Saccharomyces cerevisiae S288C: one gene and its partners. The protein of the gene in region 2 binds, or shares a complex with, the protein of the main gene of each other region. Each region holds a gene or a part of one and is shown on either strand. Other genes may lie near its edges. The genes, in order: MRP4, RSM27, PET123 and MRP51.

Region 1 (4,177 bases), on a different chromosome or scaffold from region 2:
GTCAGTCTTAACAGAATTCCGTCATGAAGGTAATTATGTGTTGAATTTTGCCACACAACAATACAAATGTTGGATTTCGTTGCCAATTGTATTTGTACTAATTGCTGCGTTACAATTAGTTAACCTGTATTGGCTGTTTTTAATTCTTAGAATCTTGTACAGATTGATATGGCAAGGTATCCAAAAGGACGAAAGAAGTGACAGTGATTCTGATGAGAGCGCTGAAAATGAAGAATCTAAGGAAAAGTGTGAATAAACGTATCTTAAGGAGAATACGTATCATCATATGATTTCCCCCCTGTATGAAGGCCAAGTTAACATGGTATAGCTCATAGTTGTTGTTATAAGAAGCATAAACCCAAGTACGAAAGTAATAATTCTGTAAAAAAAAAAAAAAATGCGTTTATTTAGCGTCTTCGGGTTGGCTATATATATATATTTAAGGATATATGGGCATATGTACAAGTTTAGGTTAACAAGCCAAAAGAAAATAAAAGTGTTCATTTTTCGTTATTTCTGGCCAAGCGATTTTGCAAGCCTCTTTGGCCAGCTCTCGCCAAGACTCCTAGTAAGAAATTGACAGATCTCAATGAATCATCGTTACCTGGGATAGGGTAGGTCACCAAAGAAGGTTCGGAGTCAGTATCGATGATTGCGATAGTTGGGACCCTTGATTTAATTGCTTCTAACAAAGCGTTTCTATTTTCTGTGGGATTTAATACGACCAGCAAGTCAGGCTTAACCTGCTTTGATGTTTCATTCGGTGATAACGCTCTTTCGGTGGGATTGTCATTAGAGTCGATTTCCTGCTTCTCCCAGATACCTGAAATTTCTGTAGAATTCGTCAAAGTACCCGGGATCCATCTGGTAGACACATAATAACCATGTGTCTTCTTAGCAGCTTCCTCGAGCCCTCTTTTCTGGCCTTGTCTTGTACCCAGAAATAGGATAATGCCACCGGATTCCGAAACGCCCTCTACTACCTTGGCGGCTCTCTTCAAATAGGACAAAGTTTGGTTTAGATCTATTATGTGAATACCTTTATATTCACCGTATATGTAGGATTGTGTGGAAGACCTCCAAAGTGAGGTAGACTGGCCCAAGTGAACACCAGCAGACATTAAGCTCTCAACAGTAATGTTTTCTGGGAGGGGCGGATAGAAAATGTCCTTATGAGGATAGTAAACCTTCGAAATAGTGGCACCCAATTTAGCGGTACGCATGGAATGGTTTAGTTGACGCAAGAAAAGTTCTTGAGAGGAATATGGTTTGTCATTGGCCGAAGGTATAAGGTTAGGGTAAGGCTTGGTTGGCGTGGCTGCTGCTGTCGTTGTAGAAGATTGTCCATCTAATGTCTTGCTGTCAAACAACTTGTTCAACAGAGCATAATTTCTGAAAAAGTCACTCAATTCAGCCTCCAGCTGCTGTTCTTTGTCAGAGAGTTTGTCTTGCTCTAATGACTTTTTCAACTCAGGTAATATTTCATCTTCTGGTACCTGAGATAGAGACTTCAATTCTGATCTAATTTCATCATACAAAAGTTTCTGTTGCAACAGCATCACCTCATCGTTATTGTTAGGGGTGTTGGCCGCACCGGATGCTGACGACTGAAACCTTTTGGTAAGGGAAGGGTTCCTCAATAAGGAAAGACGTCTGAAATTCCTCGCAAAAACGTGTCTCTGCATGAGAAAAGAGTCGTTTCTCACTTTTTATTTCTCGAATCACCTGTATTTGTGCCCCGCGATAATCAGGCTCTCGAGCGTATGTACACTTGCCAGAACTGATTATTATTTACCATCAAATATAGCAGTGACCTACGACATACAAATTTCATCTCTCGGATTCACTTACCGAATTGATTTTTTTCTTGCACTCTTTTCTGACCCGGCACGGCCTTTTCTTACCGAGATAAACAGGAAAATAGGGCAGTATGCGTGTGTTATACGTGAGAGAGAGCAAGCGGGTGAGTATTCGTTTCATTACAGTTTATGCATTAACATAAACGTATACATATTACACATACACATATACATAGATAGATACATATACGCATATATTAATGCTCAGGTGCAATAACGGGTGCAACAACAGCAGCAGCAGGATACAATATGCAGTTTGAAGAGCGGTTGCAACAGCTAGTAGAAAGCGATTGGAGCCTGGATCAGTCAAGCCCAAACGTACTGGTGATAGTCCTTGGAGACACTGCCAGGAAGTACGTAGAGTTAGGAGGACTGAAGGAGCACGTGACTACGAACACTGTGGCAGGTCACGTGGCAAGCCGGGAGCGGGTATCCGTAGTTTTTTTGGGCCGGGTAAAGTACTTATACATGTACCTCACCCGGATGCAAGCGCAGGCGAATGGTCCGCAATACTCTAATGTACTCGTCTATGGATTGTGGGATCTCACCGCGACACAAGATGGACCGCAACAGCTGCGGCTACTTAGCCTTGTGTTACGGCAGTGCCTCAGTCTGCCATCTAAAGTTGAATTCTATCCAGAACCGCCTTCTAGTAGCGTGCCTGCCCGGCTATTGCGATTCTGGGACCATATTATCAGATAGCTGCATTGTGTTACATGCGATATCGTAGAAGACGATAGAACGAAAAAGAAACGTTAATCTTTTTTTCCTTTTTTTTTCGATTAAAAAAAAAAAATTTTCGCCTCGTGGCCCGAAACACGGCCAAGAGAGGGAATTCGAAAGTCTACCGCTTTTGGCAGCTGAAAAATTCAGAAAGTCACCTGGCCAGAGAGGAAAAATACGAAACCAAAAAGAGGCATCCGTAAATTCGCATTAGCAACGCATGCTTACATAGATACTCACATACTACACACACTTACATACTTTCTTAAAGACATACATCCGTACGTACAATTAGAGCGAGGTAGCAAGCAACCCAAACTTCTTCCCTTCACTGCCTCACACCCCATCCTAAATATCCCACAAGATCCTCGACTAATACAAGAAATGAGCAATGATCCATCTGCTGTATCGGAACTACCAGACAAGGACAGTCTTGATAACGGTATCAGCAATGACAATGAAAGGGCCATGGGCGGCAATGGCGATGGCGGCGATGGATTACGATTACCAAGGACCACTGGAACTTTGAACGTCAATGCCTTACAAAAAGGCACTAATGCTGCCCATGAAGCTGGTGGATACAAATCCATGGATCCTGCGAAGAACGCGGAGACAACCAATGATGATGACAATAATGTCGTTTCACTAGATGATCCTATTCAATTTACCCGAGTATCTTCCTCCTCTGTCATCAGTGGAATGTCTTCATCCATGAGTCCTCATTCTAACATCGATGAAACCAAATCTCTAGAAGCAGTCACTCCAAACATAAATACCAGCAATATAACCCCGGATCATTCTGCTGACAACACATTTTCTACCATAAATGCGTCCGAGTCAGATCACCAGTTTAATGACACTTTACTATCAAAACTGTCGTTAACAGATTCTACAGAAACTATAGAAAATAACGCGACAGTGAAGCACCAGCAGCCAGTTGCATCTTCCACAGTAAACTCGAATAAGAGCTCCACTGATATACGAAGGGCTACACCAGTGTCCACTCCCGTTATCTCTAAACCATCGATGACAACCACGCCAAGACAGATCAATTCAGCTTCCCATTCGCTTTCGAACCCTAAGCATAAGCAACATAAACCAAAAGTTAAACCGTCCAAGCCTGAAGCAAAAAGTAAACCGGTTTCTGTGAAAAAAAGCTTTCCTTCGAAAAATCCTTTAAAAAACTCCTCTCCACCTAAAAAGCAAACAGAAAAATCGTATTATTCTTCCTCTTCGAAAAAAAGGAAAAGCGGTTCAAATAGTGGTACACTAAGAATGAAAGATGTCTTTACGTCCTTTGTACAGAATATAAAGAGAAATTCTCAGGATGATAAAAGGGCCTCATCGTCGTCCAATAATTCTTCCTCATCTTCTATAACCACCGCTTTGAGGATATCTACGCCATACAATGCCAAGCATATCCACCATGTGGGCGTGGACTCCAAGACTGGTGAGTACACAGGTTTGCCGGAGGAATGGGAAAAATTGTTGACTTCTAGTGGTATTTCCAAAAGAGAACAACAGCAAAACATGCAAGCAGTCATGGATATTGTCAAATTCTATCAGGATGTCACGGAAACAAACGGTGAAGATAA
Region 2 (5,003 bases):
GGAGCGGAGGGTTGGAACTACAAAGTTGCTGATCCCTGTAATGTCCATTTTAGAATACCCAAGCTGAAATTTATGCAATTCTATTCTTCTGATCCCATCTCGCTCATCATACCAGAAAAAGAAGTTGGTCTTCATAGTAGTGTGGGTGAAACTCTGAACTATTCTAAATTAGAGCAACATCCAAGATACAAGAGAGATAATAAGAAATTGAGTGAAACTTTGAACATCATTAATCTATTCCCCGCATATTGTAAAGCATTAAATGAGCTTTACCCGTTTATTCAAACATCACAGGAAAATTTGAGGGGTACTATGCTTAATAGTGTCGCAGCTTGGTGTTCATCTACTTGTATTTATAAAATGGTCGCAAAAATTGGTTTTTATTTGACTTTTGTGATCTGCTCTATTGCTAGTCTCGTATCCTCGTTATTAAATTATTCGCACTTTCAGTTGGTAAATTACTCGGCATTTGTCCAGCAAATCGATCTTCGTTGTCAACAAATTTGCTATTTCCCAGTACAGTATGAGCGTATTAATAAGAAGGATAACATACAGAATGTTGGCTCTATGGTGGAAAAAGATAATTCTAATAGTCAATTCTCACATTCATATATGCCTTCTAAATTCTATCCCGATTATATTTTATTGTATAATACAATTTGGCTTATTATTAATGACATTTCATTTGGTTTAATATTGGGGGCCATACTTATTGAGAATCGAGATTTCTTGGTGTCGGCATCCCATAGAGTATTGAAGTTTTTTTTATATGATTCATTAAAAACAATAACTGAAACGTTAGCAAATAACCCCCTTGGCATCAAATTAAATGCAGAACTTGCGAACTTTTTGAGCGAATTATTTCTTTGGGTGATAGAATTTTCTTATACCACATTCATAAAAAGACTCATTGATCCGAAAACCCTATCATCTTTGCTCACGTTAACGATATATATGATGTTTCTCGTTGGCTTTTCTTTTGCTGTTTCCCTAGCGATTGATTTTTTTGCAATTTTAAGTTTTCCAATATATGTTTTTTATCGTATCAGCAGTAAACTGTACCATTGTCAGTTGAATATTATGGCTAGTCTTTTTAACCTGTTCTGCGGTAAAAAGAGGAACGTTTTACGAAATAGGATTGACCATAACTATTTTCAACTAGATCAATTGCTATTGGGAACATTATTATTTATTATTCTAGTGTTCTTGACTCCCACAGTGATGGCATTCTATATGTCATACACAGTTTTGAGAATGCTAACAATAACTATCGAAATATTCTCGGAAGCTGTCATTGCACTCATTAACCATTTTCCATTGTTCGCATTATTACTTAGGTTAAAAGATCCTAAACGTCTACCCGGTGGCATTTCAATTGAGCTCAAAACCACGGTTTCTAACAAGCATACAACCTTAGAACTTCAAAACAATCCTATTAAATTCAAGAGTATGTTCAGACCATACAATCTATTGTTGTCGCAAATGAGGACAAATTATTTCTCGTTTGCTACTGTACGAAAGATTGTCCGAGGGGAGTCTATAATGGTCAATAGAAATAAGCTGTACTATGTTCTTTATTCTTCACTGCCTAGTAAGCCATTGAGTGTAAAGGATTTATACAAAAGGCTGACTATTCAGGCATAACGTTTTCTTTTATAAGTAAAGTAGCGTTTTCTTGCTTCAGCTATTTGTTGTTTTATTTTTGATTTTGTATGTACATGAAATGAGTTTCTACATAATGAATATTTTTTTTAGTAAGGGTGCTCCAATCATTTTTTTTTCTTCCCCTTCCCCTTTGCAGTTGCAGCTGCATCCTTCTTCATCTTCTTAGGAGCACCTTTACCACGACGTTTCTTTGCTTCTACCATAGATAATCGATATTGCTCCTCAAGGTCTACAAATTCAATATCAGGATATAATGTTTTCAAATGTCTGAACTTCAGGATATCCGGATTGCCGTAGTAGCTTGCCACAGAAGGGCCCTTTAATCGCTCATTTAGAATCTTAGAACCGGTTCTTATACCTGATGGGTTGAAATTTTGATCAAATATCTTCGCAGATAACTCTGCTACTTTTAGGAGTCTCGCCTTTGGTACGTTCATTGAAAGTCTTATGATAAACTAATCCACGCAATCACTACGTACCACTTCGTCGAGCGGGTCAAAACAAGTACCTATTCTCCATGGCTATGTGCTCTAAAATGGTTTAGAAGTTCGCTTATTATATTTCTAACTGTTTTAGATCACTATATACGCTACGTGTTGATAAGACTTCATTTGCACATTTTTACTACAATAGCTAACTACTCTCAATTGATTAAACTTCTCAGCAAATAAAGTACATGGCTAAATGTGTGACAAGATGACACAATGAATGTATTTCTTTTTTCTTGATTTTTATTTAGCCGCTAAATTGATAAAGAAATCTGTTATTCTAATAAAACATTATACTATAATTATTAATATACTATTTGTAAATATCACCTTACTTACCACTCGACGTTGTCAGCATTTTCTTCAGCCCATTCAGTAGCTTCAGCTTGCTCTTCGGTAACCTCTTCCTTGGCTTCTTCTTCACCAGCTTCTTCGGTGGTAGCTTCTTCAGCAACTTGTTGTTCAACTTCTTCAGGGTCTCTGTAGAAGTACAAATCTGGCATGATGGACCATGGTTGAGTTCTGTCAACTAAAGCACCTCTTAGTCTCAAAACTTCTCTAGCCAATAAGTACCAGATTAAACCAATGGAGTGCTTACCTCTGTTGTTACATGGGATAGCGACATCGACGAATTCTGATGGAGAGTCAAGATCAGTTAGAGCAATGACAGGGATGTTAACGTAAGAAGCTTCCTTGATGGCTTGAGCATCTGATCTTGGGTCGGTGACAATAACTAATCTTGGTTCCTTGAAAGAACGGGTGATATAATTGGTGAAAGAACCTGGAGTGAATCTACCGGCGATTGGGGTAGCACCGGTGTGGGCAGCGAACTTCAAAACAGCCCTTTGACCGAAAGTTCTGGAAGAGATGGCAACAACGTCTTCTGGGTTTGGAATGGCAGCGATGATTCTGGCAGCCAAAACCAATTTTTCCCAGGTCTTACCAACGTTGATAACGTGGACACCATCTGGTCTTGCGTTGAAAACATATGGTTCTTGGTGAACCTGAAACAAAATTAAAGAAGAAAAAGTTAGTATAAAAGATTCAAAAACGTACACTTGGTATATGCTGTGAATGATCAACTGATTCAAATTAATGTACTATGAAAAAATGGCATTTATAGTTGGCTAACAGCGTCGGAAGAATAGGTACCGGAATTAATTGATTTCATTGAAAGAGGTTTAATACCAAAGGTTTGTTTTTTTTTTTCATTAGCGATTTAAAATTTAATAACATAATACAATTAGAAAGTCTATTGGCAAAATATTCGCTGATAATTAGCTGGAGTTTCAAACTGTTTTAATGATTGTTCATATATTTCTCTTCTTATTCAGCCTGAAAAATGCTATCCCAGCATTCCGTTTGGTTGGCGGGAAACCTGGTTGTGGCTATTCTTTCACTCGAACTGTTTTCAATCACACATTACTCTATTATATAATCGGGAATGAGTATAACATACTTGAACGTTTCTAGCACCTAAGTGAGTGTTAGCAGCCAACAAAAGTTGGGCATCTTCTGGAGTCAAGTCAAAAGTAGCTGGTAAGGACATTTCGCTCTCTATTTAGTTTGCTATTTTCTAAGCTATACCTCACTCTACAAGGGCAGTTTACGAAGTAAACTAACAATGCTACATTTCGATATATTATAAGCATCCTTGCTACGGGATCTGGCAAGTGTCCTGCCCTGCTACTATCTGCCCGGCAGCAGGCCACTGTACTACTCACAATTGGGAACACGACGGGATTCTGGTATCCATGGTAGGGTGCGCAGGATTGTAACGATGGCCCTGCACATTTACAATCGTTGGCTGAGATGAGCCTGTTCCAGCCTACGAAGTAAATTCCTCCATCCCTCCAGGCAGGATCTGTCCCAATTCCTTCCTGCCTGGAGAATCTCTGGGCCTGCGTTTCTCACTTGAGGTGCGCTCATTGGACTTTGCGCTACTACCAATGCGAAGAATTCGAGCTTTTAACGTGGCGCGCTCAGCGGCATAATACTTTTTTTTTCAAAGTTTTTTTCTTTATGTCTGGGTTTTTTAATATGTTTGGGTTTTTATCATATTTCAATTTTAACCGGACTTTTTGCTTCTATTCTTGTGAAGCGCATCCAAAAGCGGAAATATCTATCATTCAAAAAGAAAGTTTATTTTTAAGTTTAAACTTTACAAGCCACAATAAGGTATATAGGTCGTTTTGTTTTCAGACATGCATCATTGACTATTTCCTATGAATTTTGATGAATATTACTAAGATAAAAAAACACTGTAAATTGCTCATCAACTGTTTTCCTCTACAAACAAATCTACACTTGGCTGGCATGGGTGAATCGTTTAGCGTGTTCTTTTTTTTTTCGCGGCTTCTTTAGATTGCGCCTGTTAGTAAGATGCCCGCTGTCAACAATCTGCTCAATGCGGTATTCACAATGATATCTGTGATATTTCAAGCCTCACTTGCTAAAGATGAGTTCCGTGGATCTTTGGTGAAAAGAACAATAAGAGGTTGTCATATTCTTGGGAAGGGGCTTATCATGCAGCAAAAGACTTATGCGTATATATAGTTTTCATAATAAAGGGATAAGATACCTTGCCTGTTTCATTCTATAATAATAAACCCTGTAAAAGTATGTAATAGACAGTCAGCACTTTTCACCACTTCGAACATGGCAAAAGACGGCTTCGAGTTATATAGATACACTCCGGAATTAGGTGCGAGTATACTTTTTACGGTACTTTTTGCAGTATCAGGGGTAGCATTTGTAATTTTACTATTCCATTATTCTGTGAAAAGTAAAAGGAGAGTTGGCTCTCTTATGAAGTCCCAACCCGTATTGCGGTATTACGGTACGGTAAAC
Region 3 (5,221 bases), on a different chromosome or scaffold from region 2:
CAACTAGCAGAGTTCTTAATGCCTTCCAAATAAATTCTATCCTGGGGAGTAAAGGTTCCGATCCTTGCTGAGGATAATTGTATCTCGGTTTCAATTCTTCAAAAAGCGCATATAGCAAATCAATCTTATCAGCAATCTGTGGAGCCAAGAGCGTTGGATTTGCTTTCCATTGAGGAATCAAAGCCTCGATTTGTCGCAAATTATCATCTACGAGCTTTTGAAATATTACTGAAACTTTGGCCTCTGGCTGATTATTTATTACTGCACTTAATCCTTGACATAGTTCAAATTGTGACTCAATATCAATCGAACTCTGCACGTTGAGGAAGAAATTAATCAACTGATCAATATACCCAACTAATAGTTTAGAGCAGTCCGAACAGAAGAACATTAATGCATGTGATGATGCAGTGATTATACTTTGCATATCCGATGAACCCTCATGCAGTTGAAAACCGTTAAAAATATATTGCAATTGAACTTCTAGTAGTTCTGGATGCTTGGCTGTCCATTCGGTATATCTACCAAGAACTAATGTTGATGCATACCTAATCTTGGCCTGCTCTGGAAGGTTACAAATGATTTTAATGATTTCTGGCAATATAGTGTTTTCAGTCAACGAAATTTCTTTAGCCATAGTCCTCAGGGAAAATAATGGGGCTTCCATTATTTGCCAGCTATTGTTGTTTTCTATTGCGGACTTAATTCTTATTAGTGGTTGCGATAAAGCCTCAGAAGTTCCCACCACTGCAGTACAGTCTTTTAACACATCGCCCATATGATACCTGAAATCTTTAAATTTATCTTCTTCCTCTTTAGATGAAAACTGGCCTGATGGATATTGTAAATGAGTAATTATACCATTTATTAATTTAACAAAAATATCAGAGTAAGCTTTTCTTGATTCTTGATATCTTGGCAAAACTAAACTTTGTTTGAAGTTAAACCAAAAGGGGAAAGTATAGGAAACGACATCTAAGTCTTCATTTTTGCAGGTCAACATCAATAATACCAAAACCATTGGTTTAAAAAAATCGGGGTTTTTAGAAATGACAACTGACCAAGCCTCGCCAGCTTCTACGAATAATCGTGTCATACCTTCTAGGAGATCGTCATCATATTCATCGTTCAAAGGATGGTCTGTGAACAGAGTAGGCAATAGTTTTTCTTGTAAAAGCATTAACTGATGAAATAAAGCAGAAATCAACTGCTCATTAGTAGTATCTCTGCTTTCTCTGAGGATAACGCAGAGACAATCAATAGCGGAATCGAATGCCTCCATGTCACTTTCATTACCATTGGAAATAGTTTCAAACACGAGATTTATTAAGGGTTGTACGGTTAGCAACTGTTCAACAGGGAATTCATACGACCAAGAGTTCAAACACCGTAAAATTTGTTCTAATGAAATAGATGAGCTGGAATTCCCGTCTGTATTTTGTAATAGGTCTATGCATGATACAAGGAATTTCAATACATCTTCTGCTATCGGATCAATTAGTTCATGAATTCTGGAATTGAATTCCACTTCTGTCAAGGAAGTAGATGCAATGTCTAAGGTTTCCTCAGGTAAAATTCTTAAAAAGTTTAATAATATAGATGGTGAAGAATTCAACAATGAAATGATCTCGAAAATTGGATTCTGCCATTCTAAAAATTGGATCGCCAAACGTGCTAACGCGACATTCAGTTGTGTAATAATCAATTTTTGGTTATGCGATAATAAAAGCGTCAACAAAGAATCCTTGAATTGTGGTAGATTATTTTCTAATTGTGATAGATCATATGTGACTTTATTCCTTAAAGTTTGCGCAGCAAAAATATTTAATTCTAGAAGAGCGTTTGTAGGATCTTCTTTAGACAATATTTCATTGCAAATAGACCAGGCAACAGTTGATCTTTGGAATTGTTCTAAAAATTGAAGCGCTTTGTTTTTATCATCTTGAGATGCAGTAGACGATATGCATTGTAAAGCAGTTTCTATATCAGATACCTGTAAGTTGTCCATAACGCAAGTTAATCCTTAGTATATCCTCAATAAATCCTTGATACTGATCTGTCAACGAGTATTTTCATGCCTTTTTCCTTCATTTATTTTTTTGTCAATATCCCTTATGTTCGAAAATTTTTTTCAATTATACCGAAAGCCTGAGCATCTAACAGAGAAATAGAAAATTGAAGTGAAATAACAATAATAGATGGTAAAGGTAAGAGATAATACTAAGGAAAGGAGATTAAGGAACACAGGAAGGATATAGAGCGAAAAACAAGAGGCTTGGAATGTCGAACAAAGTTAAAACCAAGGCCATGGTGCCACCAATAAATTGCATATTTAACTTCTTACAACAGCAAACACCAGTAACGATATGGTTATTCGAGCAAATCGGCATAAGAATCAAGGGTAAAATAGTTGGATTTGATGAGTTCATGAATGTTGTCATCGATGAAGCCGTGGAAATTCCTGTGAATAGTGCCGATGGTAAAGAAGATGTGGAGAAGGGCACGCCCTTGGGGAAGATCCTGTTGAAAGGCGATAATATCACATTGATAACATCAGCGGACTGAAAGAAAAAGGGGAACGAGAGAAATAGACAATTCGCAAGTGACGTATATACATGGGCATATTTATTCTCGATTTGATTTTTTTTTCTTCTTTTCTTTAGTTGTAATGCGTCTAAGGCACTTTCGAATACATGACATGTTGAAGTAGTATATATATTAGTTATTTACAAGTTGGTTGTATTATTATTATTACCATTATTTCCAGCTCCATTAGAGGTGGGGTTTAATTTGGAATCAATTTTATTGGAAATGTTTTTTAAATCCTTGTTCAGATATGAATCCACTAAAGAAATATCGAAAAACTTTTCGTTTGACAAAGAGCCCATTATTGCGTTGTTAATTTGGGTTTGTAGGGTGGTGTTACCTGAAAGTAATAATTTTCTATTTCCAAATTGCGTGAAGTTAGAAGTTACATCATAGGCATCAGTGAATTCCTCCGTTTCATCGTTAAAAACCTTATCAATTTTCTTTAGTAGTTGGGATTCTGTAACGATGAATTCATTAGCGACATGGTAGAGGTTTAATAATTCGTTTAGCTTTTTCTTGTGCGCCTGAAAGTTCAACAACGATCGATTGTAATTCCTTTTCAACTTCAACAATTCGCTCTCTTCTGGTGATCTGTTCCTTAAAAGAGGTTGAGACATCATTTTGTCTAGAGTCATAATAGTCAAGTCTGAAGATTTTTCCTTATTTAGTTTTTCTAGCTCCAGTTCTTTTGCTTTTTCCAGTTCCTTTGTCCTCTTCTGCAAATACTCGTGTTTGTGTAATAGCCTAGCCTCTTCCTTGCGAAATGCTTCAATCAAAAACTTTCTTCTTAATTCAGCTTTTTGTAATCTCACTTTCTGTGCTGAACCGTTACTGGATTTTATACTCTGGGGTTCAGCAACGGTCTTCGCAATGAGATTATCCACGTCGATAAAGTTTACCTTGGGTGATAATCTATGTGATCCTTTTGGATGTTTTACACCTTTGGCATACCCAATACCAAGAACACCCTTGGGCTTGGGTGATTTTACCTTATTAATAATATCAGTCTGCTTTGTAGTGGGGCTCTTCAGAATGGACCTTGTTGTGGGGAAAACCCCACTTTTAAAACCATACTTGGCCGCACCTTTCCCCATACTTCAATTATCCTTGTTATTATTGTTGTTGACAATCAGCAATGAAACTATTACCTAAATAATCCATATGTAGATTCTCTTCTTTATTCTACTCCTCTTGGGAATCACTTTCCTACTCGGCGACTTCAGGGTTCTACTTGCACTTCCGTTGCTAGTGATTTTTCATTAGGGCCAATATTTTTACCCTCATTACAAACCCTTTATTGTAAAAGCGGGTAAATTAGGGCCATGTTTCGTATTTTATAACCCGGCCGAGTGGCAAAATACCAAAAAGAAAGATGAAAAGGATAAACTAATAATTCAGCAGAAGGGTGATCAGTTGAGGTGGAGAGTTTGTATAGTAAAGCGTTAAATTTTTTCAGGAATACTCCCCCCACATAAACCTGATTGTAGAAAATAGAATTGAGTGAGCATGGCAGGTTTATCGTTCGACAATTATCAAAGAAATAATTTCTTAGCGGAAAACTCGCACACACAACCTAAGGCAACTTCCACGGGTACCACCATTGTAGGCGTAAAATTCAATAACGGAGTGGTGATTGCAGCAGATACAAGATCAACACAAGGTCCAATTGTCGCAGATAAGAATTGCGCAAAATTGCATAGAATTTCCCCCAAAATATGGTGTGCTGGTGCCGGTACCGCCGCCGATACTGAGGCAGTTACGCAGTTGATCGGGTCTAACATTGAATTACATTCCTTATATACCTCGAGAGAACCAAGAGTGGTCTCAGCTTTACAAATGCTAAAGCAGCACCTATTTAAGTACCAAGGTCATATTGGTGCTTATTTGATTGTTGCAGGTGTAGACCCTACGGGATCTCATTTGTTCTCCATTCATGCGCATGGTTCTACTGACGTGGGCTACTACCTTTCTCTAGGATCTGGTTCTCTAGCGGCAATGGCTGTGTTGGAATCACACTGGAAGCAAGACCTTACGAAGGAGGAAGCCATAAAGTTGGCCTCTGATGCAATCCAGGCTGGTATCTGGAATGATTTGGGGTCTGGTTCTAATGTGGATGTGTGTGTCATGGAAATAGGTAAAGATGCAGAATACTTGAGGAATTACTTGACTCCAAATGTTAGAGAAGAAAAGCAGAAAAGCTACAAATTCCCCAGGGGTACAACTGCTGTGCTGAAGGAGAGTATTGTCAATATTTGTGACATACAAGAAGAACAAGTCGATATAACGGCTTGAAAGTAAAACATAGAACTTAAGTATATTTTAGTATAGTAAATCATTGTTCAACAAAATGTGATAAAGGAAGTCAAAAACTAACCGCAAAACTATTTACATAATATATTTTCTTATAGCAGAGCTTATTATTTGTTCTTGATTCTTTTTCTTTTTTCTTTTTTTTATGCTTTGAAGTGTGTTAGTTGATTTTTGTTCGTTAATTTTCGTGTTAATTTATCCATCCATTTTAGCTATTTTATCACACAGAGCATAATATAACAAACACAGCTCAGTACCACACATATAACATAACACTAAAATTAACATTTCTATAGTCATCCGTTTGTTGGTCTTTAAAGGG
Region 4 (5,621 bases), on a different chromosome or scaffold from region 2:
CCTATTTCAAAAATATTCCGTATTTTTCCCTCTCTATAAAAACAAAGGGCTTCCAAAATATCCATTCCAATAAACGGTAAACTCACCCATTTATGATTGGGACAAGAGCAAAAAAAAAGGAAATTGGGAAAAAAAAAGAGAAAGAAAGCAACAGAATAAAGGGAACTTGATAAAACTGAAGTACCGTGGGTCAAGTAGCGTGAAAGAGTCAATTCATCGACTAATGGATGCATAAAACGTATGACTGTATAGTACTGGAGTGAAAACGAAGAGATAAAGAAAGGAAAAAGGGAGATTAATAAAAAGAAAAAAATTAAAGGAGTTCTATATTTGGATTAGTCTTTTATTCTTTCTGCTTACCACCATGAAGCGTTGCTATTTCCGTAACCGTTTTTCTCATTATCATTTCTAAACCCACCTCCAATCGAACCCCAATTTGATGTTCCAGTATTCCTTGGCCTCGTGCTCCCAAATGAGCCATTTCCACCATGTTTACGGTAGTCTCTTGAACCGTTATTACGACTATTGAAAAAACCTCCTCCTCCCCTAGTTCTTCCACCTCTTGAATTCTGTCTTGACAGGTCACTTAAAAACGTGGGAACTTCTTGATTCGCTTCATTTAAAATTTCCATCAAACCCTTCACAATATTCTGATTATTACTATTGAAGAATGAAGTAGCCACGCCTGTGTTACCAGCACGGCCTGTTCTACCAATTCTGTGAACGTAGTCATCGATGTCGGAGGGCAAATCATAATTAATGACATGTGTGACATTCGGTATATCCAAACCTCTCGCTGCTACAGCTGTTGCGACCAGGATATCAGCTACGTTAGCTTTGAAAGCAGATAAGGCACGTTCACGTTCAGCCTGTGTGCGGTCACCATGTATGGCTGTAGCTTTGAAATTTTGCATGATCAAAAAATCTGTGAGTTGATCCGCCATTCTTTTCGTTTCAACAAAAATCAATGTCAATCCCTTATGCTCTGCAGACAGTAAATCTAACAACGCAGACTTTTTGTCCATGTCATCGACATATAATATTCTTTGCGTGATATTTTCTGAGGTGGAACCGACTCTTCCTACTGATAAAAAAATATAATTATCTAAGAAATCGCGTGCCAAATGCTGGATATCTACTGGGAATGTGGCGGAAAACATCAAGGTCTGTCTATTTTCCACAGAGGGCATATCACATTCTTCAACTATATGGCGAATTTGGGGTTCGAATCCCATATCTAGCATTCTATCAGCCTCATCCAATACCAGGTATTTGATATTAGCCAAAGAAACTTTTCCGCGTTCTAATAAGTCATTCAGCCGCCCTGGTGTAGCCACCAATAAGTCACAGCCGCGGTCAACCTCCCTCATCTGGTTACCGATTGGCGCGCCACCATAAACAACGCATGGCCTAACCCAAGATCTATACGTAAATTTTCTTGCTTCTTCAAAAATTTGGGTAGCCAATTCTCTAGTTGGTGCAAGTACTAAAGCAGATGGATATCCCTTTCTAGAATAAAAGCTCTGTGCTTTCTCGGGTACTGGAGAGGGCCCAGACCTGAATAGCTCCGTGAAGAGCGGAAACAAAAACCCACCTGTCTTACCTGAGCCCGTTTGTGCGCATGCCATCAAATCCCTACCTTTGGTAACTATTGGAATAGAATATTTTTGTACTGGAGTAGGTTTGGTGAAACTAGCAAGTTTGATATTTTCCATTAACAGCTCATCCAGAGGGGGAGAACTAAAATCTAGTATAGGTTCAGGAACATCTTTTCCAGATGCATCTACGGGAATATTATCGTAATTATCAAACTTTATACCAGATGAATGGTAATCGGGATCGTCGTGTACACCAAACAGTTCGGCTTCTAATTTCGCGTTCTTAGGCCCCGGTATATGCTTGCCATTTACCCATCTATTTCCAGATGATTTGTAATTTGAGCTGCCTCCGCGGTTATAGTTCGCACTCGTCCCTCCATTTCTTTCCTTAGAAAAGCCAAAAAACCCGCCATTGTTCCCAGTTTGCCTTCCAGCACGTCTGAAAAAATCACCACCCGTAACCTTATCTTCCTGTTTTGGGGTACTTCTTTCGAATGATGGTTTTCCTCTACTTCTCAAGTGCGGTGGGACATAAGATGATTTGCCGCCACCACCACCATTCTCTTTGTTGTTGATGCTTAAATTAGATACCTTCTGTGGCAAGTCTGCCATTTTTTCTTGTAATACTTTCACTCAAAGGGGTTTTTCTTAAAATATCCTTTAACTGACACTACCGATATCTTTTATAATCATGAATAATCCTTGTTATAAAATAAAGGCATTACTTCAGAGATGACCTTAAGTAACCTTCCCTTAAAATTGTTAAAGAACTCGCGGGGTAATATTTACGTTGACAGTGATATTTGTTTTGAGAAATCAAAGAATGAAGAACTTAGATGTAGAGTTAAAGGAGCAATACGAATAGGTGCCGTGATGAAGAAAAAAAATCATACAGACATTTGCTACAACCCTTGGTGAGACTGTTTCGATCATTTTTCTTTTTCTTTTTCTTTATTTTAGAAAAAATTGAACGAAATGACATTGGCAGAGTTGCTTGGACGGTCGAGAATAGCTCAAGTAGCTAACAATCATAAACCATTGACATACACTGGCAAAAAATTTCATCCAACACATCAAATCATCGAAACTAAGCCATCGACACTATACAGACAAGAATGGGGGTTGAAATCCGCTATTCCTTCGAAAATTAAATCTCGATATTTGGTGTACAACGATTTGGATACGTTGGAAAGAATTACCACATTCGAACCTAGAGGCGGTACGCAATGGAATAGGCTAAGATTTCAAGAAATGGGAGTACCAATTGTGTCTAATATAGGCAGACAAAATCCATTTTTCAAGTACATATCTCGTCCTGAGGATGAGTCTCATGCTAAATTGTCCTTATTCAAAGAAATGAAAGGAGATACAGATATTTCGCCTGCTGCTATGAAGAAGCGTTTGAAGAAGATAACAGCACTAATTAGATCGTTTCAAGATGAATTTAAAGAGTGGCTGGTGGAAAATCATCCGGATGAATTGAAATTGAATTCTAATAAGCTGGAAGACTATGTAGTGAAGTTTCTAAACAAAAAGTTGGAAACAAAAACGAATAAAAAATTTAACACTGAAATCATTGGTACAGGTGGATTATCATACAGCTTGCCAGGAAAGCTAAAAAACTCACCAAATGGTGTCATTCAAAGGACTGTAGTACCCGGTAGAATCTTGAACGTTGTTAAGGAGAACAACGACAATAAATGGCTGGCAGCTATTGGTGGGTTTGTGGCCGATGTGGTATTTTTCCAATCACCACCTAGTTCCTTTAACTCCATGGGAGATTTCATCAGAATGAAAACGTTCTTGTTCGAGATCTTGGAGGCATCTATGGAGAAAAATGGTTCTGTTTCGATGCACGCTAGATTACTCGAACCACAAAATGACAAGACCAGAGAATTTTTCAATAAGAGACCAATTTATAAACCATTGACCTCTAGAAGGGCACGTCGACCATCAGTGGGAAACATTCAAGAGGCCAATAACCTTTTGAATATAATCAAGGGAAATTGAGAAGAGAAAAAAAAAATGTGAACAATCAATGTATATTCAGAGTTCTGTAAATAAATAAAGAAAATAAAGTTTACATATTACTAAGGATTTTTGTCGCCTATTTTTACTATTTTTCAGGTGAAATGAAACGTTTTATATCACATTTTGCTATGATAACAAAGTTATTATGATTTTTATGTAGCCTATATTATTGACGCGTTGTTATAGCATTCTATGAATTTGCCTGTCATTTTCCACTTCAGAAAGGTCATCTAATTGCTCCCACCAGTTGAATAAGTAATTCTCGCAAATAATCTTAAACCAAGGCGTAAACTTGTAACTTGGGTCAGCAAACATAGTTTTCAAATCATTTGGTGAAACCCATTTGAAGTCTCTAACTTCATTGACGTTTGGGTTGACAGTCAAGTTTTCTTTAGCGTTGATCTTATAAAATAGGATGTAATCAATTTCATGTTCACCCCATGGTTCATTGCTTGGTGCCATGTAATGGATTCTGTTTAAAAAGTGAAACTTACCCCTTGTCTTAGTTTCATCTTCTGGAATACCTAATTCATGATCTAGTTTTCTCACCGCCGCAGTAATAGCGCCCTTAATCTTATCGTCTAGCTTACCCTTCAAACCTAATTCGTCATCAATACATAGTGGATGAGAGCAGCATGTGTTAGTCCAAAGATCAGGGAAAGTTATTTTTTCAGTGGCTCTTTGTTGTAAAAGTAATTCACCTTGTTCATTGAAAATAAAGACGGAGAATGCACGATGTAGTAAACCCTTTTCAATATTTTCCATTAAATGACAAACTTTCTTGGTACCGGCACCAATAGCATTATCGTCCCAATCCAAAACAATACAATTTTCATTCATTAACTTAATTTGCTCCTCATCATGACCAGAAAAACATGTTTCTCCGCTTTCGTCATTTGACGTCTCACTAGATCGGGTATTAGGTCTTTGTTGTAATGGAATAATTTCAGGAAACTCTTCCAAAATGTCTTCAGGTGTTTGGTTTTGCACTAATTTGGCGTAACTAGATACTGCACCATGGGGCATACTATTGTTGTCGGCAGTCATTGAGGTGTAATGAATTTTTGGCTTATTTTTACTCTTCCTGTATTCCAAATACGAATACTCTAATATTGAATTAAGTGGGATATACGCCTTCTTGTCACTAGAAAACTGTTTCCTGTTAAATAGATAAAAATGAATAAATAAATATAAATGGAGTTAAGACCGAAAAAGAAAGGCAACCCCCATCGACAAGAAAAGAGTTATGAATAATCATGTTTCTTAATAACAATTAAAGGGAAAAGAATCGGCTGGGCATCGTCATTGCGAAACTGTTGACTGGAAAAATTTCAATCACAATTAAGTTTTGTCCATTTCGTTCCAGCAAGAACGGAAACTTTTACCGATAGCAGCGGAAAAAAAGAAAAAAGAAAAAAAAAAGAAATTAATATAGGCAAAATAGCCGCATGAAGCCCTTAATAACCTATACTATTCTGTGACTGTTATTTATTTACCCTCGTAATATTAAAAATGTCCTATACAATTTCTGTAATAAAACCTAATTTTTTTAGGACCCTTGAGTGTTACCCTGCTCATGTTTTTATTTTTGTTTTAGAGAAATGTAAACAACAGTTTGGGAAAGTTTCAAGAATTGTAAACAACTAATCAAGGGATAATACTATTTTACTCTTTCCTTTAAACATGAAGAACTATTTTTTGTTTACGTTTTTTTCTGAATTGAACAATAAGATCTTGTTAATTTTTTTATCGCTTGATCTATTATCAGATCTTCTCTTTTGAAAAACTAGTCCTTTTCCAAATTACAAACTTTCTTTTCGTGTGGAGTTGATCAGTTCAGTTTCTCCAATACTTCTTAAGTCACTGAAAATATAACGAAAAAAAGGGCTCTGGAAGTAAACAGAGAAATTCGACGATATAATATGTCTTCCAAGCATTCAGATCCATTGGAGAGATTTTATAAGCAATTTCAAGCATTTGTTCAAAATAACC

What was found.
Region 1: RSM27 (region 2) and MRP4 share a complex: the UniProt entries of both Saccharomyces cerevisiae proteins name them as parts of the mitochondrial small ribosomal subunit.
Region 3: RSM27 (region 2) and PET123 share a complex: the UniProt entries of both Saccharomyces cerevisiae proteins name them as parts of the mitochondrial small ribosomal subunit.
Region 4: RSM27 (region 2) and MRP51 share a complex: the UniProt entries of both Saccharomyces cerevisiae proteins name them as parts of the mitochondrial small ribosomal subunit.

What each region holds. Positions count from the first base shown.
Region 1 is NC_001140.6:96,727-100,903, reverse strand, and holds MRP4 (mitochondrial 37S ribosomal protein uS2m MRP4), read right to left. Parts: upstream 1,686-4,177; coding exon 501-1,685; downstream 1-500. Other genes in the region: sphingosine N-acyltransferase LAG1, read left to right, coding at 1-256; YHL005C (uncharacterized protein), read left to right, coding at 1,684-2,076; SHU1 (Shu1p), read left to right, coding at 2,109-2,561; mitogen-activated protein kinase kinase kinase kinase STE20, read left to right, coding at 2,967-4,177. UniProt on the Saccharomyces cerevisiae protein: Component of the mitochondrial ribosome (mitoribosome), a dedicated translation machinery responsible for the synthesis of mitochondrial genome-encoded proteins, including at least some of the essential transmembrane subunits of the mitochondrial respiratory chain.
Region 2 is NC_001139.9:919,274-924,276, reverse strand, and holds RSM27 (mitochondrial 37S ribosomal protein mS33 RSM27), read right to left. Parts: upstream 2,103-5,003; coding exon 1,770-2,102; downstream 1-1,769. Other genes in the region: GPI1 (phosphatidylinositol N-acetylglucosaminyltransferase), read left to right, coding at 1-1,644; 40S ribosomal protein uS2 RPS0A, read right to left, coding at 2,489-3,157, 3,613-3,702; RTA1 (Rta1p), read left to right, coding at 4,812-5,003. UniProt on the Saccharomyces cerevisiae protein: Component of the mitochondrial ribosome (mitoribosome), a dedicated translation machinery responsible for the synthesis of mitochondrial genome-encoded proteins, including at least some of the essential transmembrane subunits of the mitochondrial respiratory chain.
Region 3 is NC_001147.6:630,626-635,846, reverse strand, and holds PET123 (mitochondrial 37S ribosomal protein mS26 PET123), read right to left. Parts: upstream 3,684-5,221; coding exon 2,727-3,683; downstream 1-2,726. Other genes in the region: mRNA transport regulator MTR10, read right to left, coding at 1-2,008; mRNA splicing protein SME1, read left to right, coding at 2,281-2,565; PUP1 (proteasome core particle subunit beta 2), read left to right, coding at 4,096-4,881. UniProt on the Saccharomyces cerevisiae protein: Component of the mitochondrial ribosome (mitoribosome), a dedicated translation machinery responsible for the synthesis of mitochondrial genome-encoded proteins, including at least some of the essential transmembrane subunits of the mitochondrial respiratory chain.
Region 4 is NC_001148.4:324,055-329,675, forward strand, and holds MRP51 (mitochondrial 37S ribosomal protein bS1m MRP51), read left to right. Parts: upstream 1-2,573; coding exon 2,574-3,608; downstream 3,609-5,621. Other genes in the region: YPL119C-A (uncharacterized protein), read right to left, coding at 1-233; putative DEAD-box ATP-dependent RNA helicase DBP1, read right to left, coding at 357-2,210; isopentenyl-diphosphate delta-isomerase IDI1, read right to left, coding at 3,810-4,676; HOS3 (histone deacetylase), read left to right, coding at 5,552-5,621. UniProt on the Saccharomyces cerevisiae protein: Component of the mitochondrial ribosome (mitoribosome), a dedicated translation machinery responsible for the synthesis of mitochondrial genome-encoded proteins, including at least some of the essential transmembrane subunits of the mitochondrial respiratory chain.